Linked DNA regions of Saccharomyces cerevisiae S288C. The gene in region 1 interacts genetically with each later gene. Each region holds a gene or a part of one and is shown in the gene's direction. Other genes may lie near its edges. The genes, in order: YGL262W, YGR016W and COX5B.

What was found.
Region 2: mutations in YGL262W (region 1) and YGR016W together harm fitness more than expected from each alone (negative genetic interaction), as found in Saccharomyces cerevisiae (one large-scale study listed by BioGRID).
Region 3: mutations in YGL262W (region 1) and COX5B together harm fitness more than expected from each alone (negative genetic interaction), as found in Saccharomyces cerevisiae (one large-scale study listed by BioGRID).

The regions. Positions count from the first base shown.
Region 1 is NC_001139.9:3,728-6,460, forward strand, and holds YGL262W (uncharacterized protein), read left to right. Parts: upstream 1-1,584; coding exon 1,585-2,112; downstream 2,113-2,733. Other genes in the region: COS12 (Cos12p), read left to right, coding at 1-205; seripauperin PAU11, read right to left, coding at 2,563-2,733.
Region 2 is NC_001139.9:520,392-523,333, forward strand, and holds YGR016W (uncharacterized protein), read left to right. Parts: upstream 1-1,869; coding exon 1,870-2,442; downstream 2,443-2,942. Other genes in the region: MSB2 (Msb2p), read left to right, coding at 1-472; EAT1 (putative hydrolase), read right to left, coding at 699-1,685; YGR016C-A (uncharacterized protein), read right to left, coding at 2,855-2,942.
Region 3 is NC_001141.2:153,256-156,420, forward strand, and holds COX5B (cytochrome c oxidase subunit Vb), read left to right. Parts: upstream 1-1,966; coding exon 1,967-1,967; intron 1,968-2,055; coding exon 2,056-2,510; downstream 2,511-3,165. Other genes in the region: HOS4 (Hos4p), read left to right, coding at 1-1,591; HPM1 (protein-histidine N-methyltransferase), read left to right, coding at 2,790-3,165. UniProt on the Saccharomyces cerevisiae protein: Component of the cytochrome c oxidase, the last enzyme in the mitochondrial electron transport chain which drives oxidative phosphorylation.

The DNA.
Region 1 (2,733 bases):
TGCGAAGAGGACGAATACTTACATGTTTGAGCAGAAAATTTGGAATTCGCCAATACTGTTCTCAGATGGTATTGATTGTGAAAAGTTTTTTAAATGGTATTTCAGTACCCCTGTATCTTCGCAAGCGTCTTTGTCAGTTGGTTCCACTGATTTTGAACTCTGGCCATATATAAAAGAAGCACAATCAGCTTGCAATGATGTGTAATTGGTAAAGATATTGATATACTATTCTTAAAGACCAAAAAAAAGCTGTTAATAACCCAAGTTTAAACATTAGTAGATAATGCAATATTTGATGAAGTCTGTAGAGTGCCACTATACATCGTAATAAAATTACACAGTACGTGCTTGTACGGTCGCCATATCATGAGATTACTTGAAGCTTCCTTGAAGCTCATACCGTAACCAGTTTTATACGTTTTTCTTTCCTCATACCAACATCCTTTAACGTTTGTTGAGAGAAAATGCGGTAGTTTTTGTAAAACACCTTACGTGAAAGATATTATTACTATTTCAAGACCAAACGCGTAACGAATGTATATTCTAGTACTGCGTTAAGGTATGAGTTACCCATAATAAATTTTATTACTATTAACATTTTCTTGGAGTACTTCGTTTTCTTACTTGATGTACGTTGCTATACAGTACGCATTAAAGAAATTGCAGCTATCGTCGTGTTTGGTTCATACGGTTGAGTTAATATTTCAAAATAATGTCCGTAATAATTATTACCGACATCTGTCTGCCTTTTATTAACATATCTCGCGTTCAACCTGTGCGTTGCTTATCGCTTGAGTAGGGGCGAAACACCTGTTGAAATCTTACGGTGAACTTTCACTATTTAAAGGACTGCTTTTCTCCAAGAGTTTTTATTATACAGAAATATCGTAGCAGTATCCCAGCGGGAGATAGATCCTTTTCAGAAATTAACGTTCATGACTGGTCAAGAGAAAATAGGCGCTAAGCGTTTTCAGATCTGCTGGAGAGTTTGGAGACGCAATATACTGCTATTCATCTTTGTATTTGCTGTTTCCTTTTATTATTTTCGTTCAAGAGATGCAGAAGCTATAGTTAATACTACGGTAATTGCCTCACCTGTGGTGACTAGTTATCTAATGAAAGGCAAAACTACTATTGGGCGTTAGCAGGTGGTGCCAGTGGATTTTCAATTACGCTAGCAGGACTCTCCGGTGCATACGCCGCTAACAAATGTACAGCAGATTCAGGTAGTACTCATGCTGGACTGGAGCTGTAGTTACATTGGTAGCAGATGCTTTAGATGGAGTTGCTACCACTGCTGATACGATTGCTGGGGCAGCGGCTTTGACGGCAGCAGCGGCAAAAAAGATCTACTGGATATATTGCTACTATTGCTGGATTAGACTTCCATTCTTCAAGTCCTCGTAATTTCACTGCAATCAACACCACCATGCAAACAGTTGGTCTTGTATTATCAGGAGCATTTGACTATATGAACACATAGAAGGCTAATGGCTTAGAAAAGAGAGAACAAAATAACACAGTTACAGAAATGCAGCATGTTTGATATTTTAGTAGTCAGTTGGGTCTTCATGTGCCACTCACATGCGTAATAATGTGACTGAATTGGTCAACAGTATAATAGGTGTTCAAACACCTGGATCGCTACCAGATACTCTTTCTGGGGCACATTCATTGCAGAGACGCATAAGCTATTTTGACGTCAATTGGATATCATGGAATTGGGACAATGTAAATGTTGATCTTAATAAAGAGGTAAAAAAAAGTAGGCCCCTCCTTGGGGAGGAGGACGATCAATGCATGTTCGGTTGGTTCGCAAATAATCCAGGGTGGAAATATTACTGGTCGGTAACTGATAATCCTGATCCAGGATATAAAGAGAATTACTCTGACATTGGAGATGAAAATGCTGTCCACGGTGAATTATATTTTAACACATATGGGGGGTTGATGGCTTCTGTAATGACAACAAAGATGGTGCTCAATGCGAAGAGACAGCTTGTGGTTATTGATACAATTGTGGTAAAGGCCATCTGCGATTATGTTATGAAATATTGGAAAAAAAAGGTTAACCTTACTACGATATCATTATATTTGATGTTAAAGTTATAAAGCCAGACATTTTCAATCTTTCTTTAAATCAATGAAAGAAGATGCGCAAATATTGAAAGCATTGACTACTAAGACTTAGGAAAAAGCTTCTGTTGACGATTTATAATGTTATATCAAATAATTAAATTTATTTCCTAGATTTTTGAATTGTGAGAGACATCCCTAGCATGATTTTTTTTCACATATACTTTCAATTTTAATAGAAATGGAGCCGTCAAATTTAACTTATTTTCTATTTTTATAATTGAAAATTTTATTTATTCATCTATTCTACATTTTATTTTGGTGTTGGGATTTTTTTCCGGCTTAAATATATGGTCAGATCTTTTATTTATATTACACTTATCTACAATTTGTATTTATATCATCAAAAAGAGCTTTTTATTTCTATATTTTATTTTTCGTTACTTACCAATGTCTATAGAATTTCGTTCGTAAAGGCGTTTGTCTCTAGTTTGCGATAGTGTAGATACCGTCCTTGGATAGAGCACTGGAGATGGCTGGCTTTAATCTGCTGGAGTACCATGGAACACCGGTGATCATTCTGGTCACTTGGTCTGGGGCAATACCAGTCAACATGGTGGTGAAGTCACCGTAGTTGAAAACGGCTTCAGCAACTTC
Region 2 (2,942 bases), 520 kb from region 1:
CGGTGTGTCTTCATCTTCCGGAAATTCCTATCAAGATGCCGGTACTTTGGAATATTCATCCAAATCTAACTCCAACGTATCCACTTCTAGCAAATCAAAGAAAAAAATCATTGGTTTAGTTATCGGCGTTGTTGTTGGTGGATGCTTATATATTTTATTCATGATTTTTGCTTTCAAGTATATCATAAGAAGGCGGATTCAAAGTCAAGAAATTATCAAGAACCCAGAAATTTCCAGTATCAGTTCAAGTGAATTTGGTGGAGAGAAAAATTACAATAATGAAAAGAGAATGAGCGTTCAAGAATCCATAACACAATCTATGCGAATTCAAAATTGGATGGATGATAGTTACTATGGTCACGGGTTGACAAATAATGACTCAACTCCAACCAGGCACAATACATCGAGTTCCATACCAAAAATTTCAAGACCAATTGCTAGCCAAAACTCCCTGGGTTGGAACGAAGTTTGATAGCAATGTCTGCAGAGACTTTCTCCGCTTGCATAACCTTATAAACTTATAACGATACCTACTTATTTCATATCTTATGTATAGTTCTCCTTCAAGGAGACGTTGTTTTAATACTTTTATCTATTCCATTTATCATTATCTACTTTGTAATCAAAGATCGAAGCACTGCTGTGTGCGTTGATTTGGGCCTGACACGAGAAGAAAGTGCGTTACGTACATCAAGATTTTATTCAAAATCCAGCGTCTCCTCCGCAAAAAAGTTCAGAATACATTTGAATGAGTCCTCTGGATTCTCCAACAGTAAATTATGCCCAGTATTAAATTCTCGGACATCAGCACAGGGAAAGTTATACCTCAGGAGGGAATAATCATTGTTAATAAAGTTAGACTGCAGGCCTTTCATGAATAAAACTTTACGACTGGCTGTGCCTTTTTGGAAGAAGTCCCTTTGGTTCGATAGATCCGGCCATTTTTTCACTTCATCCAACAGGTTCGGCATGCTGGAGAGAGGCATTGAGTAATTTATATAAGGATCATGCTGTTGTTGTTCATAGTGTAACTGTGCTTGGTGTACATTATTGGATTTTACAGAAAGAAAACCGTTGGCAAAGTAGAGTGCCACAGCTCCACCACATTTCCTCTTATTACATTCCAAACTTTTGAAAAGCTCAAGAACTTTTTTCTGCCAGCTGGGGGAACCTCTTAAAATCTTGACATCTCTGCGGATAATCCGCATTATTAAGTCATAGTTTTGTAATATCATGGGATCTAATTCTGGGGTTTCATAAGGCGGTAAATCAATTGATATACACTTTCGTATATTAATATTCTTGTACAATGTGGTTAATAATGCAATTTTACCACCCATAGAGAATCCCAGTAAATAAATAGGTCTCTCCAAGCCAATATGAGTTTCAATAAAATAAATCAAATCATTGGTCAGTGTAGTGTAGTCATAAGGTATTGCTTTTGGTGAAATGCCATGATTTCTTACATCAACAGAAAAAATATCCGCGTCAAGCTTCCTTGAAAGAAGCTTATTGAGAGAATGAAACATCACGTGTGAGCCCAAAAGGCCATGGATGTTAATAATTGCAGGTCTTTGCTCGAATTTTATTAGCGATGAAACATCTGAGGGTAAACGCGTTCTATGGAATGATAAATCGACAATTATTTTATAAGGTAGCGCTTTATTATGCGCTAGTCTCGACATTTGTAAGCCCTCTTCCCACGGTTCCTTTTATTTTGCAGTTTGTATACGTCTCGACCTTGGCATGAGACAAAAACAGTTTCCCCAAAAGACGCGCTGTGGTATTCAGTAAAGGCTGGTTTCTATGATAGGTTGAGTTTAGAATAATTTTTAAACAGGATACTAAGATAAAGCAAATATTTCAATCATGTCCAGATTAAGAAGATTCAATAGAAAGATCTTAAGCTTGAGTTCTGACTACACTCATGACGGTGAATCTGATCAAGAAGATGTATCCATATTACCATTAGATACAGAAGAGCAGGAAGAACTCATACAAAAATTTGAGACTAATGCTCACATCACAAATAAGCTGTACATAAACCTGTTAAGCATATTGTATTTGCTATATGGCGGACTGCTAATGATACTCGTAAGAAAATCGCGAGGGTATATTAAGTTAGCACTTCTTGCTGGCGCTAATTCTTTGATCTGTTCGTGCATCACACTTAGATATGATATTGTAAACGACTATCTTTTGTTCAAAAAGTTTAAGTTAAGAGTGAGCAATTTTTCTATTAACATAATAAACATTATTTTACTAGTACTTATGGCTTGGATAAGTTTCAATCATGTGGTCGAAGATAAAAAAACGGTGCTCTGTTTGCAAGTTCCAATGTTTTTATTCTGGGTCGCTGTGCTTGTGAAAAGATGGGCTCGAAATATCGAAGATGAAATCGCAGATCTAAGATGCTTGAAATACAAATACAAAAATGCTTAGTTCTATATCGCGACGTATTGTAATATTCATTGGTTAGTATATTCCGGAATATTTATTACTAATATTACAAATTGATTGGTTGGCAGCTCCTTATTTGTGAACAAGGCCAAAAAGTACTGCTACGAGCTTATTCAAGCATACATATATATAGCTTTAATTCCAAAATCATCGTCACAGGAATCTGCTTTAAAATCCAGTAAAAGACTAACCTAGTCAAAGGGGACATAGAATAGCTTACAAGAGGATTCAGTTTGGAGCTAACACTTTCTTCGGAACTTTCCAGCTTCGTACAAAAGTGCAGATACGTTAAAAGATCAGTTTATCCGTATGTTTTGAAAAGGCTATCTAGTGCAGAAGTCTCTAATTTCAATATAATAGCTTGCTAAATAGTCTTCGAGGCGTTGCATATCTATCAAGAAAACAACATGACCAATGTACCTAGAATTATAATTAAGTAGATGATGCCAATGAGGTGAGCGAGCAAAACCATGTCAATTGGA
Region 3 (3,165 bases), on another chromosome or scaffold:
AAATGGTGGTAAGATAGACTTAAGGTCATTTTTCGAAAGCGTTAAGTGTGGCCATGAAGATATTACAAGTATCTTTTTGGCATTCGGATTTCCCGTAAATCAAACTTCAAGGGATAATAAAACATCCGCTTTAATGGTAGCTGTAGGTCGTGGCCATCTTGGAACTGTTAAACTGCTATTAGAGGCAGGTGCAGATCCAACCAAAAGAGATAAAAAGGGTCGTACCGCTTTGTACTATGCCAAAAACAGCATAATGGGAATAACAAACAGTGAAGAAATTCAATTGATTGAAAATGCTATAAATAACTATTTGAAGAAGCACTCTGAAGATAATAATGATGATGATGATGATGATGATAATAATAATGAAACATATAAACATGAAAAAAAGAGAGAGAAAACGCAATCACCCATATTAGCAAGCCGAAGAAGTGCCACTCCTAGAATTGAAGACGAAGAGGACGATACGAGGATGCTCAATCTGGCAGACGATGACTTTAATAACGATCGTGATGTCAAGGAATCTACAACTTCGGATTCGCGCAAGAGATTGGATGACAATGAAAATGTTGGTACTCAATACTCATTGGACTGGAAAAAACGTAAAACAAATGCCTTGCAAGATGAAGAAAAATTAAAAAGTATCTCACCACTCTCTATGGAACCTCATTCTCCAAAGAAGGCAAAATCTGTAGAGATAAGTAAAATACATGAAGAAACGGCTGCTGAAAGAGAAGCAAGACTCAAGGAAGAGGAAGAATACAGAAAGAAAAGATTAGAAAAGAAAAGAAAAAAAGAACAGGAACTACTACAAAAGCTGGCCGAAGATGAGAAAAAAAGGATCGAAGAACAGGAGAAGCAGAAAGTCTTAGAAATGGAAAGATTGGAAAAAGCTACTTTAGAGAAAGCAAGAAAAATGGAAAGGGAAAAAGAAATGGAAGAAATCTCTTATAGAAGGGCAGTAAGGGACTTATATCCGTTAGGACTGAAGATTATTAACTTCAACGATAAACTTGATTACAAAAGATTTTTGCCGCTATATTATTTTGTAGACGAAAAAAACGATAAATTTGTGCTCGACTTGCAAGTAATGATATTGTTGAAGGATATCGACTTGCTCTCAAAGGACAACCAACCAACTTCTGAGAAGATTCCCGTCGATCCCTCGCACCTGACTCCATTGTGGAATATGTTGAAATTCATTTTCCTGTATGGAGGTAGTTATGATGATAAAAAGAACAACATGGAAAATAAAAGATATGTTGTAAACTTTGATGGGGTTGATTTGGACACAAAGATTGGGTATGAGCTTTTGGAGTACAAAAAATTTGTTAGTTTGCCCATGGCGTGGATTAAATGGGATAACGTTGTTATTGAAAACCACGCAAAAAGAAAAGAAATTGAAGGAAATATGATTCAAATATCAATAAACGAATTTGCACGATGGAGAAACGATAAGCTGAACAAAGCGCAGCAGCCGACGCGCAAACAGCGTTCTCTAAAAATACCTCGAGAGTTACCGGTTAAATTTCAACACCGTATGAGCATATCCTCCGTCCTCCAGCAGACATCCAAAGAACCATTTTGGTAAAACAATTCATCGGTCCGTTGGCATATGCTCATACATAGTTGCATTTTCGATTCATTAAATACTATTCATGTTAACATAATTCCATATAATCGTACTGTTTTGTCATTATTATATCGGCATGACACTCACCAATTTCTTTTTTTGATTTTGTATTGTTCGATAAGGCAACGAACGAGTACTCGAAAAAATGTCATGGACCCCTTAAAATTACTGAGGGGTTCAGAAAATACCGTGCAAAAGACGAAAAAAGACGAATTTCATTTGATTTATATTTTATAAATGACTGTTGCATTAAACAATAGACCAATTATTTCAATTTAATATTCTTTGCAGGAAACTTTCACAATGGAATAACGCCACATATTCATTGTAAAGAGCATGTATAACAAACACTGATTTTTGTTTTGAGTTTTAAAAGATATCCATTTACTAACATTCGAGGTGTACAAGCACAAGTTTTGCAGTGTTGCGTACTTCTCTTACTAAAGGGGCACGGCTAACTGGGACAAGATTTGTTCAAACAAAGGCCCTTTCGAAGGCAACATTGACAGATCTGCCCGAAAGATGGGAAAATATGCCAAACTTAGAACAGAAAGAGATTGCAGATAATTTGACAGAACGTCAAAAGCTTCCATGGAAAACTCTCAATAACGAGGAAATCAAAGCAGCTTGGTACATATCCTACGGCGAGTGGGGACCTAGAAGACCTGTACACGGAAAAGGCGATGTTGCATTTATAACTAAAGGAGTATTTTTAGGGTTAGGAATCTCATTTGGGCTCTTTGGTTTAGTGAGACTATTAGCCAATCCTGAAACTCCAAAGACTATGAACAGGGAATGGCAGTTGAAATCAGACGAGTATCTGAAGTCAAAAAATGCCAATCCTTGGGGAGGTTATTCTCAAGTTCAATCTAAATAAGTAGACGAGGAAAATAAAATTGTTTCGTATATTCCGTGTTTGGGGTATAAGTAGATTGTTTTCATATATACGCATTTGGTCTTAGTTCAGTAGGTTGATTACTTAGTTCCTTGTACCTTCTTCTGCAAATATCATTCATTGTTACTTCGAAGAAGAAAAAAAATAATCATGGAAAATTGGAAAAAAAAAAAGTCCAATCTAAAAAATAAAAATGTTCAAGTCATCGATTCTATGGGGAGGAAAAGGACAATCAGAACCGAAGTGTTGTGTAGCTAAAATATGTCATTTTCCTTCGGCTTTACTTCCAATGACTTTGATGATGATGAGCTTGTTGCTCAACCTGAAACATTCGTTGAAAGCAGCAAAGAAAACGAAAATACCACTGCTTACATCAATCCATTAGATTCGGATTTCTTGTCGCAAGCTGGAGTTGTGCAGCCAAATGTGGAAGACCTAGGAACAATATTGGAAAGTCTTAAGGATGTTAGATTGACATTTGAAGAGTTCCAATCTCCGATATATAGAAAACCATTGATCAAGAGGGAACTATTCGATGTCAAACATCAGCTAATGTTAGAGACAGATGCCCAATCCAACAACAACTCCACGGAACTGGACATTTTACTAGGTGATACTTCTGAAGATTTGAGAAAGA